Linked DNA regions of Saccharomyces cerevisiae S288C. The gene in region 3 interacts genetically with the main gene of each other region. Each region holds a gene or a part of one and is shown on either strand. Other genes may lie near its edges. The genes, in order: SET3, RPA14, THP2 and UBP3.

What was found.
Region 1: mutations in THP2 (region 3) and SET3 together harm fitness more than expected from each alone (negative genetic interaction), as found in Saccharomyces cerevisiae (7 studies listed by BioGRID, with this or other methods).
Region 2: mutations in THP2 (region 3) and RPA14 together harm fitness more than expected from each alone (negative genetic interaction), as found in Saccharomyces cerevisiae (6 studies listed by BioGRID).
Region 4: mutations in THP2 (region 3) and UBP3 together harm fitness more than expected from each alone (negative genetic interaction), as found in Saccharomyces cerevisiae (5 studies listed by BioGRID).

The regions. Positions count from the first base shown.
Region 1 is NC_001143.9:494,747-503,771, reverse strand, and holds SET3 (histone-binding protein SET3), read left to right. Parts: upstream 1-3,938; coding exon 3,939-6,194; downstream 6,195-9,025. Other genes in the region: SPO14 (phospholipase D), read left to right, coding at 1-2,428; GMH1 (Gmh1p), read right to left, coding at 2,669-3,490; SAP190 (Sap190p), read right to left, coding at 6,414-9,025.
Region 2 is NC_001136.10:763,238-770,438, forward strand, and holds RPA14 (DNA-directed RNA polymerase I subunit RPA14), read left to right. Parts: upstream 1-6,287; coding exon 6,288-6,701; downstream 6,702-7,201. Other genes in the region: NUM1 (Num1p), read left to right, coding at 1-637; putative mRNA-binding protein CTH1, read right to left, coding at 941-1,918; GIR2 (Gir2p), read left to right, coding at 2,469-3,266; ENT5 (Ent5p), read right to left, coding at 3,499-4,734; peptidylprolyl isomerase CPR1, read right to left, coding at 5,275-5,763; YDR157W (uncharacterized protein), read left to right, coding at 6,694-7,095; HOM2 (aspartate-semialdehyde dehydrogenase), read left to right, coding at 7,120-7,201. UniProt on the Saccharomyces cerevisiae protein: DNA-dependent RNA polymerases catalyze the transcription of DNA into RNA using the four ribonucleoside triphosphates as substrates. Component of RNA polymerase I (Pol I) which synthesizes ribosomal RNA precursors.
Region 3 is NC_001140.6:437,464-440,627, forward strand, and holds THP2 (Thp2p), read left to right. Parts: upstream 1-1,878; coding exon 1,879-2,664; downstream 2,665-3,164. Other genes in the region: anaphase promoting complex subunit CDC23, read right to left, coding at 1-1,587; putative GTPase MTG2, read left to right, coding at 2,914-3,164. UniProt on the Saccharomyces cerevisiae protein: Component the THO subcomplex of the TREX complex, which operates in coupling transcription elongation to mRNA export. The THO complex is recruited to transcribed genes and moves along the gene with the elongating polymerase during transcription.
Region 4 is NC_001137.3:466,852-476,403, reverse strand, and holds UBP3 (mRNA-binding ubiquitin-specific protease UBP3), read left to right. Parts: upstream 1-3,979; coding exon 3,980-6,718; downstream 6,719-9,552. Other genes in the region: GTPase-activating protein BEM2, read left to right, coding at 1-59; membrane insertase OXA1, read right to left, coding at 176-1,384; PET122 (Pet122p), read left to right, coding at 1,599-2,363; YER152C (2-aminoadipate transaminase), read left to right, coding at 2,416-3,747; SPI1 (Spi1p), read right to left, coding at 7,588-8,034; PEA2 (Pea2p), read left to right, coding at 8,934-9,552. UniProt on the Saccharomyces cerevisiae protein: Has an ATP-independent isopeptidase activity, cleaving at the C-terminus of the ubiquitin moiety in natural or engineered linear fusion proteins, irrespective of their size or the presence of an N-terminal extension to ubiquitin.

The DNA.
Region 1 (9,025 bases), on a different chromosome or scaffold from region 3:
GCAAATGATGACTTTGGGTGAGCCAGCAAGAGACTTAGCCCGACATTTTGTTCAAAGATGGAATTACTTATTGAGAGCTAAGAGACCTAGTAGGTTAACTCCATTACTAACCCCGCCTTCAGATTTAACTGCTGAAGAATTGAAGAGTTTGCCGATGTTCGAAATTCTACGCGAAAAATCGACTTGTGAAACTCAAATACTTAGAAGTGCTGGGAACTGGTCTCTTGGGCTAAAGGAAACGGAATGCTCAATTCAAAATGCTTACCTGAAGTTAATTGAACAAAGTGAACACTTTATTTATATTGAGAATCAATTCTTCATTACATCAACTGTCTGGAACGGGACTTGCGTTTTGAATAAAATTGGTGATGCTCTCGTTGATAGGATAGTCAAAGCTAATCAGGAGAAAAAACCTTGGAAAGCCTTTATTCTTATCCCACTAATGCCAGGATTCGATTCTCCAGTAGATACTGCAGAAGCCTCAAGTCTTCGTTTAATTATGCAATTCCAATATCAATCAATTTCAAGAGGTGAACATTCTACATTTAGTAAACTGAAGAAACTAAATATTGACCCAGCTCAATATATTCAGTTCTTTTCACTAAGAAAATGGTCGACTTTTGCGCCTAATGAAAGATTAATCACCGAGCAGCTCTACGTTCATGCTAAAATTCTGATTGCTGATGACAGAAGATGTATTATAGGGTCTGCTAATATTAACGAAAGATCACAACTGGGTAATAGAGATAGTGAGGTGGCAATTCTTATTAGAGACACCGACTTGATAAAGACCAAAATGAATGGTGACGATTACTACGCGGGAAAATTTCCTTGGGAATTAAGGCAGCGATTAATGAGGGAACATTTAGGTTGTGATGTAGATCTTGTTGAGTTTGTTGAAAAGAAATTTGAAAGGTTTGAAAAGTTTGCTGCAAAGAATTATGAAAAACTTCATACCCTAAGTAAGGAGGGAGATAGTGGTAACAATTGGAGCGATCGAGAAATGATCGATTCCGCTATGATTGAGCTAGGTTATCGTGAAATATTTGGTTGTAAATTTAGCCCTCAATGGAAGAGTGGTCATGGAAACAGTGTTGATGATGGAAGCACTCAGTGTGGCATAAATGAAAAAGAAGTGGGAAGAGAAGATGAAAACGTTTATGAAAAATTCTTCAATTCTGTGGACTACGGTAAATCATCACGTAAGAGAACGCCTCTGCCCAAACATAATTTTGCATCTTTAGGGCTAACATTCAACCACAGGGCAGGAATTGAAAATGTCGGTATACGAGACCACAAAGTCTTAAGTACTGATCCAAGATTAAGAAAGAATGATGAACATAAAAAAGAGGTTGATGGCTACGGTCCCGATTGTTGGAAAAAGGAATCCAACAAAAAATTCAAGGCCGATGCAACTGAACAGCTAAAGGAGTGGGCATTGAACTCATTGGCCTCGAAAGTTCTTGACGATAAAGAAATGATAAAATCAGAAATTCCAGAAGGATTTTCAAATTATTTGCCCAATGAGAAAGATCTAGAAATGTATCTCACGGATAAAACTGTTACCAATAGAAACAAATGGAGTATGCTCAAAAGGATATGCTACTTGCAATATTTATCTCATAAACTCGACGAAAGAAAAACACAGAGATTGAAGAAAATCAAAGATATGAGAAGACATTTAAGTTCAAGCACAGAAAGTACCAGAAATGGGTCTAATAGTCTGCCATTAAACGAAAAGAGCAATGAAGGAGAAAGCACTAATGTCGACCAAGATATCGAAGGCGATGAATATCATAGATTGCACGAAGATATTTTGAAAAATCAAGAACTAGATGATGGTTCACTGGACGATCTACTTTCTCAGATAATTCCTAAGATCACTAACTTTAACAGTGGTGAAATTGATGACGCAAAAAAAGAAGAGTTATTGAAACTCAACTTCATTGACCCGTATTCCTTCGAGGATCCTCTTATTTCTTCGTTTTCTGAAGGGCTATGGTTCACTATAGCCTTGAGAAATACATTACTCTATAAATTAGTGTTTCATTGTCAACCCGATAATGCTGTACAAAATTGGAAAGAATATGGAGAATTTACTGAATTAGAACAAGAATTTCAAATAAACCAGGAAAAGTTGATTGACTTAGAGGCTGAAAATATTAATTCTACTACTACAAATGTTGTAGATAAGGATAGGGAAAAGGAAAAAATGAGAAAAGCCGCTGAATTGAGAATGAAGTTATCCGGTAGTTTGCTTTATGGATTCAATCAAAAGGTTTTTGACAAACATACGGCGCAGAGAATCTTGGAAAGGATCCACGGTCATTTGGTCATTTTCCCAACCGAATGGTTAGCTAAAGAAGTTGAGAGTAGAAATTGGATTTTTAACTCGGATAGACTTTCTCCAATGGAAATCTACAATTAAGGGAATATAAAAACGACCAGGAACACACCATTACCTGTATTTTCCTTTTATCTGTTATAAGCATTCGACGCTGATACATAAACAGTTTTCATTATGCATTCTTTTGGTCCATAGTGTCATTATTGCTCTTATTACTCATTGCATTTTTATACTTCAAATATATATAATAATAATATCATTATGTAATTTATGTGCTTTATCTTAAAGAACCAAATTTTTTCTATTTCCGTGTTCAATTGCTTAATAATTGTAAAAGCTTAATTTCTTGGATAAGTCGATGCCAAATAAACTGATTAAATAGATTATCGATAATCCTAATGTTGGTAAAAGTATAAAGTTCAAATTTTTCAAGAATGGCAACTGGTTGTATCCATAAAAGGTTAAAATAAAGTAATGGCCAATAGCAAAACAATATAACGAATTACCAATGAGTAAGGAAATCCAGTTTTGTAAATTAATTATGGGCAGTAGTAAAAACTGAATGAAGTATAGGCACAGTAGGATGATTAAAAATGAATTACAATGAACGTCGAAACAATAAGCCCACTCTACCACACTATTTTGGCTCGATTTGAATTTAAAATGTGACCTATTCAACAAAAGGTAAAAAATAGTTGCCATAATAAATCCAAATATGAAAAAATCTAAAATCACCATCATTACCAAACTTTTGAAAAAATGACCTATAATGCTCAAGGCCCCCATATCACTGTCGTTGTTGAAACCTGAATTATAAATCGACCAAATAATAGAACTGAGTGAAATTAAGGCTATTTGGAAGATGAAAAAGGAAGGATCATCTCTCGCCCACTGATTTTTCGTCTGTCGCTGATAATATATTGATCTATAAGCTTTTCTTGGATGGAAAATCAAATGGAACATTTCCCAGCTGGCTGTCTCGAGATCTAAATTCTTTGGCGTTTTGAAAAGCCTCCTGATTACCATCGGCACAGATTGCTGACCGTAGCCTTGTCTTGCATCGTTTTCATTACCATTATTACGCCTCCTCTGGCCTTGCGGGCCTGCTGGCAAGTCGTTGGAATAAGTCGGCAAATATGACATTGATAAATCCGTTGACTAAGTAGTGGCAATCGAAAAATTATAGTGCAAATCTGTTTCTTTCTGGCTTTTTGCAGTTATTTCAACAAAATTTAAACCTGTTAAGTTTAATATTCTAGTAAGGTCTATTGGTAATTATTTAACCGTTGGAAGTGATCGTTGTATGAAATTATCATTCTAGATTACAGGTAGTCGATACCTTTTATTATAATACTTTTATAGCATGGTATATTATTCGTAAAAAAACATTAAAGACATGAAACTAGTCCTTTGTTTCCCTGGAAATTGTTCAACCAACTCATTCATCTTACTATGTCATGATAGATGCATATCATTATCAACGACATGCTATATACAGAAAGTAGTAATAAAGGACCTTTCTAGTAAACATGATTTAAAGCGTATATACAACAGTTTTAGATCGTACTTCACAAAATACGAGAACTGAATCATGTCAGTACCTAATTCCAAAGAGCAGTCGCTCCTAGATGATGCATCCACATTGTTATTGTTTTCAAAAGGGAAAAAAAGAGCTGAAGAAGCTTCAAAAATAGGCTCTAAAACAGATACTATTGAGCATGATGAGTCTCATGAGAGAGAAAAAAAAGGAGCAATAGAAATGGCAGCAGCAGCACTGGCTACAGCATCCACAGTTTCTTTACCTTTAAAGAAAGCTACTGAGCAATCGGCGGCAGAAGCAGCAACATCCACGGCAGCAAAAGAAGAGACCGAAAATCAACCTCAAAAGCAACCTCAATGGCCGGTACCTGATTCGTATATAGTCGATCCTGACGCGGGTATAATTACATGTATATGTGATTTAAATGATGATGATGGATTCACTATCCAATGTGACCACTGCAACAGATGGCAGCATGCTATTTGCTATGGCATCAAAGATATTGGGATGGCACCTGATGATTACCTTTGCAACTCATGTGATCCAAGAGAGGTAGACATTAACTTGGCTAGGAAAATACAGCAGGAACGCATAAACGTAAAAACAGTAGAACCTTCTTCATCAAACAATAGTGCTAGTAATAAGAATAACGGTCGGGACAGAGCATCGAGTACAACTATTAGTGACGTTGGCGATAGCTTTTCAACGGATCAGGACAATACTAACCACAGGGACAAAAGAAGGAAAAGAAACCCATCAAATAATAGTATAGACTCCAAAAACGAAAGCGCTTCTGTCAATTCTTCCGATGGATTGACTTCTATGCCCAAGAAAAAAGAGCATTTCCTGAGTGCAAAAGACGCATATGGTGCAATATACTTGCCCTTGAAAGACAATGTGTTTAAAAGTGATCTGATCGAACCGTTCTTAAATAAACATATGGATGATAATTGGGTCATACAATATCCTCATAAGACCTTTAAATCTGTGTCAATTGAAGTCAAACCGTATGCTGACATTGCATATTCCAGGACTTACCCAGGCTTCACGAAATTAGGAGTTTATCTCAAAAAGGACTGCATAAAAGGTGATTTCATTCAAGAAATTTTAGGCGAATTGGACTTCTATAAAAATTATCTCACTGACCCACGAAACCATTACAGGATATGGGGTACAGCTAAAAGAAGGGTCATTTTCCATTCCCATTGGCCGATATATATAGATGCACGCTTATCAGGCAATTCAACTAGGTATTTGAGAAGAAGTTGCCAGCCGAATGTTGAATTAGTAACTATAAAACTGCAAGATACAGACAATAGGAATGACAAAAGCAGTGGAAGAAAATCAAGTAGAATAAAATTTGTTTTAAGAGCTTTGAGAGATATTTCAGAGGATGAGGAGTTATACATCAAATGGCAGTGGGATTCAAAACATCCTATATTAAAATTAATAAAGGGCATGACAATAGACTCTTTAGATGACCTTGAAAGGTATGGGCTGATAAATTCGGTAGAAACAATTTTGAGTAACGGCGAATGCGGCTGTGGAAATAATTCTAAAGATTGTTATTTATTGAAAGTGAAGAGATACGCGCAAAGTCTTTATAAATCTGTGAAATCCAGAGGAAAAATGAACAACAGATATAAATTAAATGAAATTCTCAACCAATATAATTGCAAAAAGAGACGTGAGCCACCAATTTTGCATAGGCTAGAAGAAAAGGCTCAAAATACTATAGAAAGAGCTCCAATACTTTTGAATAATTTTTATCGACAAAAATTCCTTAATCGAAATAATGGTCCAAAAATTCCTCAAAAGAATACTATTGATAGTACAAATAATCCTGATGATATTGCAAAACCCTTCAAATTCGCCTTATTTGCACAACATTCTTCTAATATTTCTGTTCCCAAAAAAAATGAAACTTCAGAAAAACCTTTAATAATTACGAAGAGCACAGATTATGACGAATCACACATTACCAATATTGAAGAATTACCAATTCCAGTTCTTTTACCAATAAACAAGACGTCAAGGCAAACTGCAAACGATGTCGAAGAGAGTCAATCAAAGAATGAACATAAATTAAGTAGAACCCCTTCTCTTTCAAATTTCAATAAAGAACTGTCAAAGGAAGCACAACACAGTCAAGCAAAAACAAAAGAAATCATGACAGAAGCTTCGGTTAATTCAAGGCGAGAATCCACTCCAGAAAGTATAATGCACTTATCAGATTTTTCGTCCTCACAACTGCATTCGAAAAAGAAATTAAGCTTTGCGGATTACAGAAAAAAACTACTGAAATAAACATGGACATTTCCTTCTTACACCTATATAAACTTAAGTATATTCAAAAGTGAATATTCATTATTCTTTATAAGATTATATTCGGTTAATATTAAATTACAAGCCTCAATTAAAAAAGTATATATTTGATGAATTATAAATGACCTATATGCGAAAAAAGTGGAGCAATAAAAAATTGATGAATAAAGGGTGAAAATGTGACAATGTGAATGTTTTAGTTCAGAAAGCTTCTTTACTTCTTGACCTATATAATGAGTAGCCCTCCTCATTGCCCATATCATTCTCTTCATCTTCATCTTCGGAGTCTTCTTCATCGCTTGATATCTCGTTATCCATTCGATCATCAACACTGGTGCCTAGTGCCACTTCTTCGTCTTCGCCATTATTATCCAATGCGGATAAAGAATTGAAAAGAATAGTCTTCGGTCTTGGTGGTGTTTTCGGGGTAGTATACAATGGATTACCAGGTCTGGCATATGACTGGCCATCATCATTAGGATCCATATAGTCATCGTCATCGCCAACACCTTCAAAGTCAAACTGATGGTGAAAAATATTCTGGTCTTGCAGTTTAGGATCTGAAGGTTGTGACCTACTAGGAAAATGGTCTGGAGGGAACAATGAAGTACCCGATGTCCATTTGTCACTCCCGTTTTCATCATTGTCCTCATTATAGAGACTATTGCCATCCCTATGTTCAGATATTTTATCGGTAAACTCTGATTCGGCACTTTTGGATTTACCATCATCACTATCATAATCATCGTCGTTAGTCTCGACGTTATTATAGTAATTTTTATTATCCACATCACTATACTCTGCGTAATCTTCTTCATTTTCTTCATTCTCGTTATTATTGAAGTTATAATATAAATCCATGTTCCCAGAATCATGCCCGTTACTAAGAAGTTCATCGTTTTCTCCATTTCCGTAGTTTTCGTTGCCCTCTGTATCACCAATTATATCCTCAGAATCAGAATTCCTAATAACATCGTCATCGCTTTCTTGGTCATTGCCAAAATCTCCCAAAACGGTGTTATACTTCTCTCTTGTATCAGCCAAGATCGTTTCACTATATTCTTTCCAAAATGGTTCCTCAAGTCGATCTGAAACAGCGGTATTGCAAAAAGTTAGCTTCATTTCATCAATATACTCTTTGAACTTCGATATTTCTTCGGCAACTAATGTCAAATGACCCATATAACCATAACGTAAACCGGTCTTTTTTTCATAGTCTTGACATGCCTTATCCGCATCTACTATCTTTTTAGTTAGGTATGCATCAACCAAATAATCTTTCAAGAGGAACCTATTATAACCAGTTTTGAGGGGACCATTGAATATTTGCTGGGCAATATCAAAAATTACATTATGCAAAAAATTATTCCAAGGGAACTCAGTGAACATATCAAGGATACTAATCAGTATCTTAGTGTCTTCTAGAGCAATCTTCAGCCTGTCTCCAACTAGCGGTTTTTCCCTTAGGCATTCTCTCACGGATTCTGTGTCAGACAAGGTTTCATCATACAACTCTACTCCAGAAGCATCATTTTCTAGCCCCTCAACTACCTTTGCGTCTGATTTCACATCTAGTTTTACACTTGATACCCCAGTATCATTTAATTCATCTTCTTCACTTCCTTGATTATTTATTTGAAGAGCGCCTAAATTTTCTGTGATATCCTTCTCTACGCAATCCTTATCATAATATGATGATTTATTGTCCACAATAGCTGTTATATTTTCCTTTTCGGTTGAAGTTTCTAATTCTTTGGCCCTTTCTATATCACGTTCTTGGGCAATCATCTCACCATTGGGCTCATTTAGCAGCGTCATATTAGAACAGTGCAATAGTTCTGCAATAAGTTCACAGATTTTAAACCTCTCAAATCCCAGAGGTTCAATATTACCGAATGGCATTTCCATTAGTGGCAACTTGGTTTTATCCAGCATATCAGCAAAATCAGGCATATGCTTAGCAAAAAGTTTGACTAAATGTATCAAGTGAATTGGATCTCGATCAGTGGGAGGGTGACTTTCTAGGGTAGTGTAGACTAGTTGGATGAAATCATAATCTGAGTTATTCTTCCTGATCAACTCTATGATAATTCCAACACCATTACTTAAGGATGTACCGCCCTTTAGCATTATCTTAATCAACTTTTCTATCATTTCTTCTGATACTAATTGCCTTGTCAATTCATTAGGACCTATTCCCGAAGCAAGTTCATTGCTTGAGTTAGTGCTTAACGTGACGAATGCCTTAATAAAATCGCCTGCCGCAGACTGAGTGGAAATACCGTATTCTGGATTAAGATGATCTAAAAGTTTAGGTATTAATTCCTGTGATTTTAGTATCTTTATGACACCCGTGGGAGAGTCAGGTTTATCCGTCGAGATAACTTTCAAAAGGAAGTCCATCAAAGACGGATTGTCAACATGTGTCAAGAACCTTGCAACCAAGCTGTCTCGGCTTAATATAAACTCTAACATCCCCGTTATATCCATATCGAGAAGTCTTTCATTTATTTTCATGAAGTAGGTGGAAGCTGGTATCGGTAAGGGAGCTGGGTGATCTAGTATCGACCACAATCTACCAAGAAGATCCTTATTTTGCATTATTGCTGCGGATATAGGCCATACATCAGCCGATAAAATTTCAGCAGCTATCCTTGCCCTTCTAGTCTCCACTTGTTCCTCAGATTCCGGTGGCAAAGTAATGCTTGTCTCTTCAGAATCAACACTTCTTTCGTCCCCAGAGTCATGATCGCTATCATTTGTAGTTTCTTCTGAGTCGCCTCCTTCTTCAGCGTCCTCCTTTTTATCCTTTC
Region 2 (7,201 bases), on a different chromosome or scaffold from region 3:
AGATATAGTAGCATCATTTATGTCACGTGCAGGATCTGCCAGTAGGACGGCATCTTTACAAACTTTAGCATCATTGAACGAACCAAGCATAATACCCGCGTTAACCCAAACCGTCATTGGGGAATATTTGTTTAAGTATTATCCACGCTTGGGACCTTTTGGATTCGAATCACGTCATGAAAGATTCTTCTGGGTTCATCCATATACCTTAACTTTGTACTGGTCCGCTTCTAATCCCATCCTAGAGAATCCTGCCAATACCAAAACAAAAGGTGTTGCCATTCTAGGAGTAGAAAGTGTCACAGACCCAAACCCATATCCAACAGGATTGTATCACAAAAGTATTGTTGTTACCACAGAAACTAGGACTATTAAGTTTACTTGTCCTACAAGGCAAAGACACAATATTTGGTATAATTCATTACGTTATTTACTTCAAAGGAACATGCAAGGGATAAGTTTAGAGGACATCGCTGATGATCCAACAGATAATATGTATTCAGGAAAGATTTTCCCATTGCCCGGCGAAAATACAAAGAGCTCCAGTAAAAGACTTAGCGCATCGAGAAGGTCCGTATCTACAAGGTCTCTAAGACATAGAGTACCACAAAGCCGATCATTTGGCAATTTACGATAGTTAAAAAAACTAAATAACTCTAAGTAAATTAAGAACAATAATAATCATTATTTCGATTTTTAGTCCTGTAAACACGTTTGCCACCGATGAGTAACACTGAAAGATCAGAGAAAGAAAAAAAAATTCTACCTAATGAAATAAATAAACTAAAAAGATTAAATTAACTAATTCTCATGTTAGTAGGTCACGAATTCTTTAATTTTGTTTTGTGACTGAAATAAATATGAAAACGATAATGAATAAATAAATAAGGAGAGGCAGCAGAAATACGCCAAATATTCAAAGGGCTTTGTTGTTGACCGACTACCAAGTCATCCTTTGCAATGCTTTAACACTAGTATGTAAGTTCCTAGGCTTACTCAAATTAGTGATATTATCGTTGTTGCTTGGGGCTAGGGAAGTAGGAAGTGGAGTCAACGCCGTATCCTTACTTCTTCCATCGTTAGCATTTTGATATATTTCAACGTCCTTATCATCACCGTGTTTGAAACAGCAACGCTTACCGTACGGACAGTAGCCTAACTTCGACCAATTTATGCAAGGTTTAGTTCTATAATTGTTTGATTTTTTCTTGAATTTCAGTTCATTAAGACCATGAGCAAATTGGCATTTATTTCCATACTTACAATAGCCTTTAATAGTAAAAGATTCACAGAGCTCAGTTTTGTATAAGGTCTTATTGACTAATTGAGGAAGCTGCAAAGGTGCCCTTCTACAAGGTTCCAGTTTTGTTGTTTTCTGAATTGGAAGTGTGTATGGAAGTCCAGTAGACTGAGAATCCACCTGAGATAGTTTTTGTAAATTCTCCGCTGTCAGGGGTAATGAAAATGCACTTGTCGTGTAAGTAGGGTTAATCTCAACTTCGAGTGACCTTTTCTTACGTTTTTTCTCAGTTGTAGCAAGTGTTGAGATGTTATTATTGCCTGCGAAAGGGTTATTAATAGGTAATGTATTTGTAGGTCTGGAATCTGATATGATCAAGTCTTTAAAATCTCCCAACGGATGATAACAGTTTGGTTTGGATGGTAACCAAGGAGAAGGCCTTGGTGAGTATTCACTTAAAATGTCCGTTTCATTTATATTATGCCCCTCGGAGCTGCTGCTGTCATCATTATCGGTATTTTCATTGAGCAGTGTCTTTATATAATATTCTTCGATTTCTTTAATCTTTGACTCGTACTCCTTGTTGAGATCAGAAAAGATCGAGGACGTAGTCGTTGAGGTCGAATTGGCATTCGGTATGTTTAAATAGTAGCTGTTTGGAGCAACATTCGGCATCATGGCTAGTGTTAATCCTTAATAGTTCTTATTGGTTGAGTTGCCGAAGAGACTGTGATATAGGGTTCTACGGCTTTACAATCAACTTATGGGTGAAGAGGCTAAATAAGATGTGACTTGTTAAGAGAGCAAGCGCAACAAGAGTGCAAAACCGTCACACTATGTCCAATGATCTACACTATCAACCTTTGAGTTAATGTTCTCTGATCCAGTATATTAGTAACTGCTCACACTGATCAAGAGCGTGAGAGAATACGAGCGAAAAAGAAAGAAGAAAAATTTGGGTGCCATTGGCACAGACCCTAAAAGAGATGTGAGAGAAGTGGGCCATATATGTATATTTTTCCCGAATGTCCTAATAAGTAATGATTGGAAATCCTAGGTCTATAAACTCGGGTAACAGAAGGTGGAAAATGAAAATTTTCTATTTTCCAATTGTAAAATCAGCAGGCATCGTTAGATTGGCTTTAAAGAGCTGAGTTTCCCATGCTGTCGGTTGGTATAATTTAAGGAAAAGCCCTCCCTCCATATCCAGAAGGCACTTGTTAATACTATGGATTATAAGGAAGAACAGAAGCAGGAACTAGAAGTTTTAGAGTCCATTTATCCTGATGAACTGAGGATCATAAACGATGAATACCCAAAGATTAAATTTGAAGTAGCCATTAAATTAGAGCTGGATACAGGTGATTCTACTTCTGTTTTAACCAAAGAGCACACTATAATCGCCGAATTCAAGTTACCAGAAAACTACCCTGACGAACCATGCCTGATTTCATTGGAAGCTCAAGAAGTAGCCCTCAATGACAACGAAGAAGATAACGAGGAAGATGAAGACGAGGTTGAATATGACGACCATGGTAATAAAGTACTGAAAAAGTTTGAAAACCTGCCAGATTTAATAAGCTTTAAGGGGTACTTGCCTGAATTAACCGTACAATTAGAATCGCAAATCGAAACCGATATGTTATTGGGTATGCAAATGTGTTTTGCATTGATTTCATCCATAAAAGAAAGATGTGAGCAATGGTATAGTGAACAATTGAATAAGCTCGAGAAGCAGTACGAGCTGGAAGCACAAGAACGTGAAAAGAAGGAACAGGCCAAGTTCCATGGTACTAAAGTCACAAGAGAATCGTACTTGGAATGGAGGTCTAAATTTCGCCAAGAACTGAAACTGGATGAAAGAGACCAGGTGAGAAGGATGAAGGCTCATCATGGGAAGCTAACCGGTAAGCAAATGTTTGAACAAGGCGTGGTGGGCACAGGCGACGAGTATATGGAAGAGGATGACGCGAGTGTAGATGACGTAGCCAAGGGACTTGCCAAGACCGAAATAGCAAATCAATAAATACTTGTGTACTTAAGTATTTAAGTATTTTCTTCTGCATGGATAATGACATATACAAATGTATCTATATAATATTTTTTTGATATTCAATAAAAAGAAAACTGACATTTGAAGAAGGAAATAGACAAGTTTTTAGTAAGATATTATTAGTGTATATATGGATACATATATCTGAGAATGAAAATTTGTTGACTGTATTGAATGTATTGGGAGATGAAGGGGTATTTGGTGATTAGACCAACGACTTGGAGTAAGAGAATAAGTCGGAAAATGCATCATTTCCCTTCGACTTGTCCTTTGTAGCCTGAGGACGGGCTTTTTGCTGTTTTTTCTCCGCAAAGGGCAATGATGTTTGCGCAGCAGCGGTGGTATCTGTGTCTGACTTTGGGCCATCCCAGTCAAGCAAATCATCTATTTTACTATTGGAAGTTTTAGGTGCTGTTGTGTCGGGACTCGTTTCGCTTTGGAAGTCGCCAAACTCATCATCATCATCATCACTATTGCTGTTGATATTATTGTTTTTGTTGTCATTATTACCATTGTCTATTGTTATATTATTCGTGGTGCTAGTACTATCGTCAAGATCGATTAAGTCAGGGATGCTATCTTGTTGTTGCTTTCTTTTCCTCTGCTGTTCTTTATTTTTGATCTGCTCTCTTAATATCTCCCTTCTTTGTCTTCTTTGTTCTTCCATATGAGAACGCCTGCGAGTATTCGAATTTGCTTCTGTTTCCACAGGAACATTGAAGTTGGTCACATTATTAGCATCCATTTCACTGTCAAAGCCATCTGCATCTGCATCAAATTCATCGTCGTCGATGTTATCGTAACTTGCAGACGTTGAAATCTGGTTGGCATTATAAATGGAGGATTCTCCTTGCTGTCGAATTTTCAAGGCATTCTTCTTATTCTTGGCTCTTTCCTTTTTCAAAAATTGTGAGTCTTCCAAGTATTGCAAGATAAGTTCTCCCTTTTTCCTAATACCTCTCTCATGAATCTCCATTTTACCATCATTGGAGAATTTTACCTTGAATTGGGCAATCTCCCTGGTTAAAATATGCTTATGAGTGAGCAAACATGATCTAATCTGATTCAGTTCGTCACCTGTGTCGACGTTCAATAATAGGAATTCAATGACTACTAGACATTTTAAGACCACCCTCCATTCGGACCCATAATTAACGTAGTCCTTTCTTGCCTTTTCGTATAGGTTCTTGGGCCTGGTAGCGATATGGTCGACTAATCTTTTCAACGTGTATTCTGTCATCAAGTAGAGCGGCACTTGGTATCTGTTCCTTAAAACCTTGGCGAGGTGCTTCGGTGTGGGGCCCCAAGCATCGGTATTTGTAGCACGACGGATATCTATCTGATAAGGCTCATATTGGACTATCACGTTTTGGGCAAACCTTGCGGCATTTCTAATATCATGGATACCTAAATTTTGAATCTTTTTTGATAATGAGTCCATTTTGTATGGTGTTGGTATTTATGCAATTGGAACGTTTAATTTGTGTATATGAATTTCCCTTCCGATTTGTATATTGGATAGAAATATAATTTTTTAAAAAAAGTAAACTATAAGCAGCCTGGAAAGATAAGCTAGACCAATTCTTATTGATAAAAAACTAAAGATAAATTCAACCGAAAACTAAAATCTAGATTGAAATTAAAACAAGAATGAATGAATGGATCAAAGGACCTGAATATGAAAAAAAGTGCAGGAGAAAGAAAATTTTCTCGCTGTGGAAAATAAGCCGAAAATCCGTTACCTAGAGGAAAGAAAGAAACGTGGGAAAAACAGGGGGCGGTACCCGGCGGCGTCAACTTAACAGGCATAACCTAGGCGGTAGTTGGCTAGTTGGCAAGCCTGGCAACATACTCCGATATAGGTAGGAAGAGTTAGTTATAAGAATTGATTGTCATACATACACATACCTTATACATATACATATAATTTAAGAGAGAATAGTTCGTTTCAATTTTTGCTGTATTGTTCCAGGCAGAGCGGTTATAATTCACCGGACTTGGCAACAACAATTCTAGCCTTGGTGGCACCGGAAGGAGAACCCAAGGACTCAACCTTCTTAACGATGTCGTAACCGTCAACAACTTCACCAAAGACAACATGCTTACCGTCCAACCATGGGCATGGAACGGTGGTGATGAAGAATTGAGAACCGTTGGTGTTTGGACCGGCGTTGGCCATGGACAACAAACCTGGTCTGTCGTGGTGCTTCTTGAAGTTTTCATCTGGGAATTTGCCACCGTAGATAGACTTACCGCCGGTACCGTTACCAGCAGTGAAGTCACCACCTTGCAACATGAAGTCTGGAATAACTCTGTGGAATGGAGAGCCAGCGTAGCCGAATCCCTTTTCACCGGTACATAGAGCTCTGAAGTTTTCTGCAGTCTTTGGGACTATGTCGTTGTACAACTTGAAAACGACACGGCCAATTGGTTGGCCATCAGCTTCGACATCAAAATAGACTTGGGACATGGTAGTATTAGCGGTTGAGTTTGGATTGAGTTGAGATATTAAATTCAAGACAAATCTTAATATAACCTATCTAGCGAAAAAGGAGGAACAAATGATGACGACAGTGGCAAAAGGATAGAAGGCTCAAGAGAATACGTTTATATTTATACAGGGAATCGAACAGACACTTGTCAGCGTAAGCCCAACCAAAGTGAGAAGGGCCACGGCCATTACCAGAGACAGAAATGAGTGGAAGCGCGTGGAAGCCCGTCTAGCAGAGGAAGAAATTCGAGACGAGGCGGGACGTGGCGGGCTGGGCGCCCCAGAAAATACCGTAGAGGACGAGGGGGGCGGTGGAAACCCCTAAGGGGCGAAAGGCGGGTAACATCTAACAGCGACGGGTAAGCATATTGCGGGTGTAAAATTTTTCATTTCGAGCTTACTTCAAGATGATGCATATGTTTAAATCACATTGATTATAGAGGTCTCATCGGTAAGGCAGAGCAGAACTGGAGACGTCTGAGGTAAGATTTCGATAATACAAGATGATGAAAGGTTCTAGAAGAACAGGTAATAACACTGCTACCACGCTAAACACGCCTGTGGTCATTCATGCCACGCAGCTGCCCCAACATGTCTCTACTGACGAGGTTCTTCAATTTCTGGAGAGCTTTATCGATGAGAAGGAGAACATTATTGATAGTACTACCATGAATACCATCAGCGGCAACGCCGCTGACGCGGACGCTGCCGCTGTGGCTAACACCAGCCTCAACATCGACACCAACCTTTCCAGCTCCATATCGCAATTAAAGAGGATTCAGAGAGACTTCAAGGGTCTGCCACCCGCCCAAGACTTTTCCGCCGCGCCCATTCAGGTCTCCACGACGGAGAAGAAGGAGACAAGCATAGGTGTTAGTGCCACCGGCGGCAAGAAAACTACATTCGCCGATGAGTGAGACCTGTAGCAGCAGCCTTGCCCTTTTACACAAAATCCTACATATCCATTCACATACGCCTTCTGTATACTACAATATATGCATATCAGTTAGAATTCTGACATCTGAACGTCTTCAGTGCTTTTTTTTCTCTTTCTTTCCAGATCCAAATATCACCGGCAGCGGCCTCAAAGTACCCGGTTTTCTTTTTTTTCACACTTTTTTTTTTTCCAAATCATGTTGTCAAGCATTGATTGACTCATTTTCCTCTGACTACTACCAGTTCAAAATGTTAGAGAAAAATAGAAAAGCAGAAAAAATAAATAAAAGAACCATATTTATTTGTTCATTCACTTTCGAGTATAAAATTAAATCTTGTTTTTCTTGTTTTCACTTAAGTACACATACAAATTAAATTGTAGAAATAAAGCGTTCTAAAATGGCTGGAAAGAAAATTGCTGGTGTTTTGGGTGCTACTGGTTCCGTTGGTCAACGTTTCATTCTGTTGTTGGCAAATCACC
Region 3 (3,164 bases):
TGAAGCTTTTATGGATCTTTTGTAGCATTTTATAGCTTCTACCTTATTTCCCGTCTTACTATAACATTCTCCCAATACTTGCCAAATCCGACGATCCCAAGGTTTCAAAGTGCAAGCTTTCTGGAAGTAGTAAAGAGAATATAAATGCATGTCCAGGAGAGCATAAGCCTGGCCCAAACCAAACCATGCTTTGAAGTCTCGAGGGCATATATCTACGGCCCGACGATAGCATTCTATTGCGGCATGTGAATTGCTTAGTTCAACAAATTCGTGACCCATCAAAGTCCATGCGTTTGTTGTTTTTTTATCCAAAGTTAGTGCTCGACGGAAATACATGATAGATTTTTCATGTTCCTGTCGGGCACTGTAATAGTTCGCTATGATACAACATGTTTCCGGTCTAAATCTATCTATTTGGGAGACGAATTGCGCCAAATAGGCTAATTTTGAATTCTTCTGCATGACGTATAGAATATTGGAGTAGGTTTCCAAATCGTTGAGACGGTACGGATCTTGTTTAACGATGTCATCAAATCGGCTTTCTGCGGTAACATAATCCAAATTGTTGTAACTAATAGTAGCATTGTAAGCCTTTAAAAAAGTGAAATTGGGGAAAACTTGTAACAAAAACTCTAAATCTTCAAAGTAGTCCTCTAACTGGCCATTAAGCTCCTCAAACACTTTTAGCTTGAAAAATTTGATCATTATATTAAATTCTATCGTTCGTTGACTACCAAGATTTTCAGAAAATTTGAATTGGAAATTTTGATATAGATAATTATTTAAAAGCAATGCATCGTCAACCTTTTGTAAACAGTCCATTAACTCCAGCCAGCAGGACCAGTTAAAGGAGTAGCAACTCAGAGATTTCAAGAATGACGACATTGCCTTAGAAATATTCTTCTCTTGCTTTAAGATGACCCCTCGTAAATAATACAACAGTGCTAACCCTAAATCGGCCTCATCATCGTCTATCTTTATTTCATAAGACTCCAGAAATGTGTTAATTTCCTTCAAAATAGATGATATGTTCGATTGTGACTCATGCTCATTGCTGACCATTTTTAAATTGGCGCGTTGGTGCCCACTTTGATTTATATCCTCATTCCCACTACCATCCCCATCTTTGTTAGCTCTGTACATTTCGTCCGTAAACTTCCCTGTAGTTAAGATATTTTCCATACTTTCCTGGCTTTTCTTATCCCACGATAGAAATTTACTGTATAATTTTAAGAACTTAAGGTATGGATTAGTGACATCTTTTAGAAAAAAAACGCATCGATCAAACTCTTTAGCATCAAACAACGTAGAACCAAGGAGGTACAGGTCATACTCAGTCTCTGATAGGCCAAACCCGTTTTGTGGTATTTCAAACATCTGTTTCGGTACACCTTGTTTATTTCTTAGTGGCGATTCATCGGCTAAAGAGTGTGTTTGATCAACATCAATAGCTTCTGCAAGACCTGCTAGCGCCTCTGCTGCCCACTTTGAGGAGCCGTATAGCTTCCATCGTGATAATTCTGTGGCAGCCTTTCGTAGCTGAATACGTATATCATGTATTATTTTATCCTGGCTGTCGTCATTCATGGTTCTAAATGCTTCACAATCTGATTCTGATCAGTATATATCCAGATTTCAGTTTTCCGCTCGCTAATACTCCCTTCTTCCTCTTAATTTGATGTGAGTACCGCAGTACTTGGTCTGCTATTATGAAGTGTTTGTTTTACCCGAAGTGCTTTTTATGTACGCGCATTGAAAAATAATAGAAACTTGGTAAGTAGAATACTTAAGAAGCTGCAGAAGTGCAGTATCTTACAGTAAGAAACAACAGCGACTAGTTTATCAGGTTTACACTGCTCAAGTTATCAAGTTCATAGCATGACAAAGGAAGAAGGTCGTACGTATTTTGAATCTCTCTGCGAGGAGGAACAAAGTTTGCAGGAAAGCCAAACCCACTTATTAAATATTTTAGATATATTATCAGTATTGGCAGACCCTAGATCATCTGATGATCTGCTTACTGAATCCCTCAAGAAGTTGCCTGATTTACACAGGGAGCTGATAAATAGTTCCATCCGCCTGCGATACGATAAATATCAAACAAGAGAAGCACAGCTTTTGGAGGATACAAAAACTGGAAGGGACGTTGCAGCGGGAGTACAGAATCCTAAGAGTATTAGCGAGTACTATTCTACTTTCGAACATTTGAATAGGGATACTTTAAGGTACATAAATTTACTGAAGCGACTTTCTGTTGATTTAGCAAAGCAGGTGGAAGTGTCTGATCCATCAGTGACAGTGTATGAAATGGATAAATGGGTTCCATCTGAGAAACTTCAGGGTATTCTCGAGCAGTACTGTGCGCCTGATACTGATATACGTGGTGTAGACGCTCAAATCAAGAACTATCTAGATCAGATCAAAATGGCACGTGCCAAATTTGGTTTAGAGAATAAGTATTCCTTAAAGGAAAGACTCTCTACTTTGACAAAGGAACTAAACCATTGGCGAAAAGAATGGGACGATATAGAAATGCTTATGTTCGGTGATGATGCACATTCTATGAAAAAAATGATCCAGAAGATAGATTCATTAAAGTCTGAAATAAATGCTCCATCGGAAAGCTATCCTGTAGATAAAGAAGGTGACATAGTTTTAGAATAAGCACATTTTATTTAACCAGCCTGCACAAGTTAGATAGAGTTATACATACTTGTTGAGTGGGAGGGAAGAAAGAGAAAAATTGTATTATTTTTTAAAGAGCTTTTTAATATTTTATTTGTTCTATCTATTATTTTCACTTCCCCGAAATAGTACTGAAGGAAAAAACATGCTGGTTTATTTAGCGTTTAATAGGATGTGTACGTACTGAGAATATCATCAAGAATCAGTCCTCGGCCAGAGCATCTAGATATGTCGATAGCTTGGTCTAGCGTTTTCAAAAGAGAATTACGGCTTGAAAGATTTTTACCAAGAGTATATTCGACGAAAGTTCCTGATAATGCACCAAGAGCGGCTGACAATGAACAATGGCTAGAAACCCTAAGACCTATAACTCACCCAGAACAGAAAAAGTCCGACCATGATGTCAGTTACACAAGACACATTAATGTTCCTCTGGGCGAAGTCACTTCTGTCAACTATCTACAACGGTATAATAAGCA
Region 4 (9,552 bases), on a different chromosome or scaffold from region 3:
CAGTTCAGACAATCCTGCAAGATTTTATTAAGAATCCAAATGATTATTTCAAGCAATAAACAATTTTCGTGGTAAATGTATACAATCCACTGCTGAGAGAGAAAAAATTTGGTCCCGCCTATCGAGGGTTTGAGTTTTATATTTTTATATTTACAGAGAGATATAGAGCCTTTATTCATTTTTTGTTATTAATGAAGTTTGATTTGTGAACAATTTTGATTTTGGAATTCTGCCTCTTCTCCTTGAAGCTTTCTTGTAACTTCTTCTCATTATCTTGCATCAATTGCCTTCTTTCCGCCTGATCTCTTGCCTTTTGAATGTTATGTTTTAATGATTGGAAGATGCCCATGTTCTCTGTGGGGGAAGCGCCAGCGATAGGAGTCCTTGGTTTAGCTACTTCTGTTATCTTCAGTTTCGAACGAACCCATTTGTTTCTCAAAATCATTGTCTGTAGGACGGAGAAGGCACCATTAAAGGCAAAGTAGAGGACCACAGCGGACGATAAGTTCATTGTGGCCGGTATAGAAATGATCGGTAGAATAGTGAAAAGACGCTTCATGGGAGAACTGAATTGTTGAGCACCAGTCTCACCCCCCAGCCTTGTAAATGAGATGAACACAGCGGCAGTGATTACTTGCAAACCTAAGTAAGGGTCTGCTTGAGTCAAGTCTGTAAACCAAGCGACACCTTGATTAGCGAACCCATCTACTGGGTAGTTAGCCATGTGTCTCAATGCGTTGAAAAACCCAAGGGCGATTGGAATTTGTAGCATGGGTGCGGCCAGCCATCTGTTCTTAATGCCGTGCGAGGAGAGCAGTTTTTTCCTTTGCATGGCGACTAGCTGACCTTGTTGCAAATCTGTAGTGGACATTAGCTTATTATTCAAGGCGTCCAGCTCGGGCTTGATATGGGAATTTCTAGCAACAGTATCAGAGGACTTGACATAGAGGGGAAACATCAGGCATCGAATGAGGATGGTGGTGGCCGCGATAGTTCCCCACCAAGGCAACCCAGAGTAAACATGAACGGCCTCCAAGACGTGTTGGATAATGTCCGAGGGCCAGTACCAGGTTTGGGCCAGGCCAATGCTATTTAAGTACCCTATATGGGAGGACAACTCGCCCACTGTTTGGGTCGTGTTAGCGATAAGGTCCGAAGTAGAAGCGGAAAGAGAAGGAGCTGAAGAGGTTAATTCATCGATGGAAGGCAACTGGGTTTGGATTTCCGAGACATCGTTGGCATTTGGGCCCGTCGAATTAAATCTTTTGGCCTGAAAAGAGATCCATGACGGATGGGGCCGGGGCAATACTATGGTTCGAGCGGTGGCCAGTCTGGAAGAGGCAGCAAACCTTGACGTGACGAGTCGAGAGGTGAGTTTGAACATCGTCGGGGAGGTTATTCTGTGGCTCCGCTTGTACGTGAACAGATACGTATAGAGGGCGAGCCACTGGTTAAATTTTTCATGGCTCGGATTACTTCCGTACTGCTGGCTAAAATCGAAATCTCGGCCTGCTGAGAGTGTTTTGAGCAATCAAGGGAACATCTGAACGTGGAAGAGCAGACGAGGCATTAGCTCGAACATAAGAACGGAACACGTCATGTTGACTATCACGAAAAGACTGGTGACCACCGATGTGCGGTCGCGAATACTGTTAAGCAGTTTAAACGGGAAAATGTCCGATGCACTGGCGCTGCTGCGTCAGCAGCAGCAGACCAGCGTGGATGTGGAGCTGCTGCACACGATGCTAGCGCGAGCCGCTGCGCTTGCCCATGCCGACACTATAGCATACATGTGGTATCAGCATGTGATGCCACGCCGGTTGCCAGTAGAGGGCCGCCTGCTATGTGAAATGGCTGGCGTAGCATTGTACCAGGACAGGCTCTTCTTACCCGCGCAGTTCCTCCAGCACTACCAGGCGATGAATCGCGATCGTCGCACCAGCCCAGAAGATGAACTGATTGAGTATGAGCTTAGACGGATTAAAGTCGAAGCGTTTGCGCGTGGCACAATGCACTCCACGGCGCTCAGGGAAAAGTGGAAGGTATTCTTGCAGGAGATGGATACGCTACCAGGGCAGCCGCCATTAAGGCTGCGCGACTTCCCGCAAATGACCAAGGCTATGGGCATAGCATTGATGCAGCAAGATGAGCAAGCAGCTGCCCTGGCGTTGTTTGGACGACAGCCCCTAGTGATAAAGAACGAATGGTCACTACCGCTACTACTGGCTGGTGTCCTTTGGCATGTTCCCGGCCCAGCGCAGGCGCGACGTGTGCTGGCGGAGTTCCGTCAAAGTTATCGCGGGCTGCCGCTGCTGGATGCCGAACTAGTGATAAAGAGAAGAGGATTTGAAATCAACACATAAATCTGGGTGGAGCATCGCTGTAACAAGGAACAACGCGTGCTAGCAAGCGGTAATGAAATACAAGGAAATCAATTTCTTCAAGGGCCATCCGAGCTCGAGGTTGCTGCCTCGAGAAGCAGTAATTCAAGCGACTGCGGCTATATTGGGGCCCGAGACCAGGGAGTACGATAACGACCCCTATAACAGGCATCCGCTGACGTACGGTTCGGACGAAGGTGCCCTGTGGGTGCGAGAGCAGATTTGTACGTTTCTGAATGATCAGCTGTTTAAGTTCGAAAATGGGGCTCGGAGCAGGACACGGGCAGACTATTTGAATCTGAATAGCGGCGCTTCGTATGGCATGCTGAACATCCTTCTGCAAACAACCTTGCCACATAACGGGTATACCAGGCAGGCGTTCATCATCACGCCAACATATTTCTTGATCAACAATTGCTTCACAGATGCGGGATTCAAGGGGAAAATGACCGCCATCAACGAGCAGGGCCACGACTCGATTGATTTCGAGTCGTTGATTTCTGCCCTTGAGCAGCACGAGGCGGAGCCGCAGCCCCATAGTACCACAGAGATGATTCAGGGGCCAAAGTTGACCAAGAAGGTCTACAGGTACGTTATGTACTGCATCCCGACGTTTGCAAACCCATCGGGAAACACATACTCGCTTGAGACCAGACGCAGACTTATCGACATCGCTCGGAAGTACGACATGCTGATAATCACTGATGACGTGTACGATATTCTAGATTACACGACGCCCTCAGATGAGCTGCCCTCTCCGCCCCTAAGGATGGTGCACATAGACAGAAGTACAGCGCCCTCCGGTGAGGACTCGTTCGGGAATACAGTGTCCAACGCAACTTTCTCCAAGCTGATCGCCCCTGGGCTCAGATTTGGATACCATGAGTCAATCAACGCGAATCTCGCCAGACAGCTATCTAAAGGTGGTGCAAACGTCTCTGGCGGAACTCCCTCACAACTGAACTCCATGATCGTGGGTGAGATGCTGCGTAGTGGTGCCGCCCAGAGATGCATTGCACATCTGAGATCCGTATACTCCGAGAGGGCCACTGTCTTGACCTCGGCGCTTAAGAAATACATGCCCCTAGGAACCGAGATTATGCCATTGAAGGGCGGCTATTTTACTTGGATCACTCTCCCACCAGCGTACAATGCCATGGAGATATCCACTATTCTTGCCAAGAAATTTAATGTCATCCTTGCCGACGGCTCCAATTTCGAGGTCATCGGCGATGAGAAAAACTGGGGTCAGTCATGCTTTAGGCTTTCTATTAGTTTCTTAGAAGTTGATGATATCGACAGGGGCATTGAGCTGTTTGGTGCTGTTTGCAAATCTCATGCGATCACCAATAACATAACTATGTAGAAGGAATACGTATATAGGTGAACGGTAATAAGAGGGTAATTTTTCTACGGGCAAAGGCAAGGAAGAAAAAGAAAAAGAAGGAAAAAAATATAATGTGATAAAACAAACAAGCAGCGAAAAAGCGAAAGGGAAGAGAAGTGTTTCTAGAGAAGAAAGTCATTTTAATAGTAAGTCAGACTCGTCTGCTACCATCATCCAGGTACCGCTTTCCTTTCCATCATCATTAAAAAAAATGAACATGCAAGACGCTAACAAAGAAGAGTCGTACTCGATGTACCCGAAAACCTCTTCTCCACCACCACCTACGCCAACCAATATGCAGATTCCTATTTATCAAGCGCCTTTGCAGATGTACGGCTACACTCAGGCCCCATATCTATACCCCACACAAATACCTGCCTATTCGTTTAATATGGTCAACCAAAACCAGCCAATCTACCATCAAAGTGGCAGCCCACATCACTTGCCTCCGCAAAACAATATTAACGGCGGAAGCACTACCAATAACAACAACATTAACAAGAAGAAGTGGCACTCTAATGGCATTACCAATAACAATGGAAGCAGCGGTAATCAAGGCGCCAACTCTAGCGGTAGCGGCATGAGCTACAACAAATCCCACACCTACCATCACAATTACTCTAACAATCATATCCCCATGATGGCCTCTCCAAACAGTGGCAGCAATGCGGGCATGAAAAAACAGACCAACTCTTCCAACGGCAACGGTTCTTCGGCTACTTCACCATCGTACTCTTCCTACAACTCTTCTTCACAGTATGATTTATACAAGTTTGATGTCACTAAATTAAAGAATCTCAAGGAAAATTCATCAAACTTGATTCAATTGCCACTGTTCATAAACACTACGGAAGCAGAATTTGCTGCGGCAAGTGTCCAAAGGTACGAATTAAACATGAAGGCTTTGAACCTAAACTCTGAAAGCTTAGAGAACTCATCTGTAGAAAAGAGCTCTGCCCATCATCACACAAAAAGCCATAGTATACCAAAGCATAATGAGGAAGTAAAGACAGAAACACATGGGGAAGAAGAAGATGCTCATGATAAAAAACCACATGCGAGCAAAGATGCGCACGAGCTTAAAAAGAAAACTGAAGTAAAGAAAGAGGATGCTAAGCAAGACCGTAACGAAAAAGTTATACAGGAACCTCAAGCTACTGTTTTACCTGTAGTGGATAAGAAGGAACCAGAGGAATCTGTTGAAGAAAATACTTCCAAGACATCTTCACCTTCACCATCTCCTCCAGCAGCAAAATCCTGGTCCGCCATAGCATCAGATGCGATTAAAAGTAGACAAGCTAGTAACAAAACAGTCTCCGGATCGATGGTCACTAAAACACCAATTTCTGGTACGACCGCAGGCGTTTCATCAACAAACATGGCTGCGGCGACTATAGGTAAATCCAGCTCTCCCCTGTTGTCCAAGCAGCCTCAGAAAAAGGATAAAAAATACGTTCCACCTTCTACAAAGGGTATTGAGCCACTGGGTTCGATTGCGTTAAGAATGTGTTTTGATCCCGATTTCATTAGTTACGTTTTACGGAATAAAGATGTTGAAAACAAAATACCAGTCCATTCCATTATTCCAAGAGGCATAATTAACAGAGCCAACATTTGTTTTATGAGTTCTGTGTTACAAGTGTTACTCTACTGTAAGCCATTTATTGATGTAATTAACGTTCTCAGTACACGGAATACCAATTCAAGAGTCGGCACATCATCCTGTAAATTATTAGATGCTTGTTTGACTATGTATAAGCAATTCGATAAGGAAACCTATGAGAAAAAATTCCTAGAGAATGCTGATGATGCTGAAAAAACCACGGAAAGTGATGCAAAAAAATCATCAAAATCCAAGAGTTTCCAACACTGCGCCACTGCCGATGCTGTCAAACCTGACGAATTTTACAAAACTTTGTCTACTATACCGAAGTTCAAAGACTTGCAATGGGGCCATCAGGAAGACGCAGAAGAATTTTTGACCCACTTATTGGACCAATTACACGAGGAATTAATTTCTGCAATTGATGGCTTAACCGATAATGAAATTCAAAATATGCTGCAAAGTATTAATGATGAACAATTGAAAGTTTTCTTTATTAGAAATTTGTCACGTTATGGAAAAGCAGAGTTTATCAAAAATGCTAGTCCTAGACTGAAGGAGTTGATAGAAAAATATGGCGTGATCAATGATGACTCTACCGAAGAAAATGGTTGGCATGAAGTGAGCGGATCTAGCAAAAGAGGCAAGAAAACTAAGACCGCTGCCAAGAGGACTGTCGAGATTGTTCCATCACCAATCTCCAAACTTTTCGGTGGCCAGTTCAGATCTGTGTTAGATATACCGAACAATAAGGAATCTCAATCGATTACACTCGATCCGTTCCAAACAATTCAATTGGACATTTCAGATGCTGGTGTGAATGATCTAGAAACTGCATTCAAAAAATTTAGTGAATACGAATTGCTACCCTTTAAGTCCTCGTCAGGGAATGATGTCGAGGCCAAGAAGCAGACTTTTATTGATAAATTGCCGCAAGTTCTTTTAATCCAATTCAAAAGATTCTCATTCATAAATAATGTGAACAAAGACAACGCAATGACGAACTATAACGCGTACAATGGACGTATTGAGAAGATCAGGAAAAAAATTAAATATGGTCACGAGTTAATCATACCTGAAGAATCAATGTCTTCCATAACATTGAAAAACAACACCTCAGGGATTGATGATAGAAGATATAAGCTAACCGGAGTTATATACCATCATGGGGTAAGTTCCGATGGCGGTCATTACACAGCGGATGTTTATCATAGCGAGCACAACAAATGGTATAGAATAGATGATGTAAATATTACCGAACTAGAGGACGATGACGTTTTGAAAGGTGGCGAAGAAGCTTCTGATTCGAGGACTGCCTATATTTTAATGTATCAAAAGAGAAATTAAGACGGGGGGTGGTATTATAGACAAAATACATAAAAAATAATATAGCAATAATACAATACAATACAATACAATACGATAGTGAGCACGATTTTAAAAAAGAAATAGAGACAGACAGAGAAACAGAGTTACACTTTATGCTTGGCATATTTAAAAAATGATTTCGCCCAGGATCGAACTGGGGACGTTCTGCGTGTTAAGCAGATGCCATAACCGACTAGACCACGAAACCAATTATTTCTTGGAGATGAACATTTAAGAAACAAATACCTTGTAGAAGGAATGTGAATTTCAAAATATTATGGCCTTTGGCAACAATGGAATCACAACAATTATCACAAAACTCATACATCTCTTAAGATTCATTTCTTACTTTAAGTAATCATCCAAATTTAGCCAAAGTTTGATTTTACCTAAAAAAAGCAGAGGATTCCCGATTTCAATCATATGTGCACAGACGATGAGTCCAACACGTTATCGTTAACATAGTGCTCAATATTGCCACTGCGCTTCGCAGGAGCATATTTCGTATACGCCAAGCCCAAGGAGGGTTTTGTCATTAAGCAGCTTACGCCAATTAAGTGCTAACCTCGAAGCACCATACTTTATCTCAGGATTTACAAACTCCCTATTGCACAACGGCAAACAACATAATCATGACCAAATGGGTAAAAAAGATGAGCTGTGAAAAAGCCAAAAAAAAAAAGGAAGAACTAGAATTACATTTATTATTCTACACACAAAAAGAAAAAATAGTTTCTTTATTTAAATGATTTGAAGAAAAAGAACTATAACGACTACATCGAAGAATACAATATTAGTAAAAAACACATGTCCTGTTTAAAATAAGTCTCTAGTTAAAGACTATTCGATCATAAAAGCATCATAACTGCACCAGCCAAACCTAGGGCTCCTGGGATTGCTCTTGCGTTAGCAGCATTAGAATTTGTCTCCACATCATGTGTAGAAGAAACCGATGTTTCTGAAGTAGGCTTCTCGATAGTGCAAGGACAGTTGGTAATTGTTAACGTAGTTGGGGCAGTAACAGTGAATGTAGCGCCATTCGTTACGAAAGTCGTTGGTTCTGGGCAGTAAGTAGTGAATTCACTGACAACTTCGTACTGTGTTGCAGTAGCAGTCGAGTTGTAGAATATTGGAGCGGCGGATGATGGCTCTGGTGCTGGCGTGGCTGTATCGTTACCGGCAATAGTAGCATCGCTTGATGGTACCACGATTACAGAGGAACTAGAATTAGATACCAATCCGAGAGCCGTAGAGGCCATGGCCAATGATAGAAGGAGCTTAGCGTTAGACAACATTATTAGTAATAGTACTGATTTTATTTTTGTGTATTGGATTCTTTTTGAGTAGAAAGTAAGATCAAGAGAGTGCAAGTGAAAGACGAACCTGGCAAAAGTAGGCCGACTTTTTATATAGATATACTTACACTTTTCCAGCTAACAGGGATGGAAAGCCCTCATTTGGGCATCTGGGAACTTCGAGAAGTTTTTTTCTTCATCTGGCATAAATTCTTCCAGAGGAGGCTATAACAATAGATCTTCTAACAAGCCGAGGGGTGAGGGGAAGGAACGTCATCGCCTAAATGGGATATCAATTAACCAGATTAGGTAACTTGCGTCCCGGACCTTCAAATAAATACTCGCGGGATTCGGGTTCGAGCCCCGATAGGGGCCCCCAGTCCCGGCATGGCTTTAACCCCATATGTGCTCCTCCAGAGATTAAGCACTAAAGGCTAGATGAGACAAGCACTAATTTCAATGAATTAGCTTTGAATATGATATTTCTTCTTCCCCCGTATTCAAAGAGTCTACTCCTCACGGTTACAATTGAAGATACACTAAAATTCGGTCCATATTGACACCGTTGATGAAGCGTCACTTCTGGATTTTTAGCATAAACTTAAAATATCTTGCATTGTGTACTATTACAGTGGTCCAAAGACGTTCTCCTCTCGCCTTGTTCCAAAATCCCAAAATGTTATGTATGAATGAATGAGGGAAACGTCAAAAATTTTTCATTACCTCGCCACAATTATGCCTTTTCTTGCAAGTCGCGCTCGCGTCAATAAACACATGATGAGTATGTGTAAAGTGATGATGATGGTATGGTAACAAATAGTTGAGCTGAACAGATTACAAAAGATACTATCGAAGTCCTGTGTTCGAGAGGGAGAATAACGGTGGATATCACGTTTCATATGCATAAATTTGATCTAGAGCTCTCGAGAAGAGCGAACCCTTTGCTTTTTAGTGCAGAACGATACGAAGAGTATCCATTGAAATACGATGAATTGAAACAGTACCTTCTCTCCCAAAATCCGTCACATCCGCATCACAATAGTAGACCATACACTTCCATTGACTATTTTGACTATCTTCTGTATAGAAGTAAAAATGACGAGTCAGAAATAGACCTTGACAAAAAGCTAGTGTCTGAGTTCGCCCTATACTACGTTCAAAAAGAGCACTTGAACTCTGATGATCTAAATCCCACACTCAATGAGTTGCTGAAGCTGCAGCCGAAGTCTGCGGATTGGTATGAAATGATGCTGAGGATCCTTGAATCCATTAACACTACAGGGATAGACCAGCTTACGAAGGAAAACAACAACAGTTTCCCAAATTCTAAAAGAGCGAGGTCTTCCACTAATATGGGTGGCACAGATAAATTTAACAAGGGTGCTTACCATACTGACAAAGCTGATGACGATAAAAATGAAATACTTCAAGAATTAACGTCCTTCTTGATGTCAAACTCCATTCAGAAAGGCATTGATATCAAGCCAATACCATTAGATGACCCTGTGAAGTTCTTGA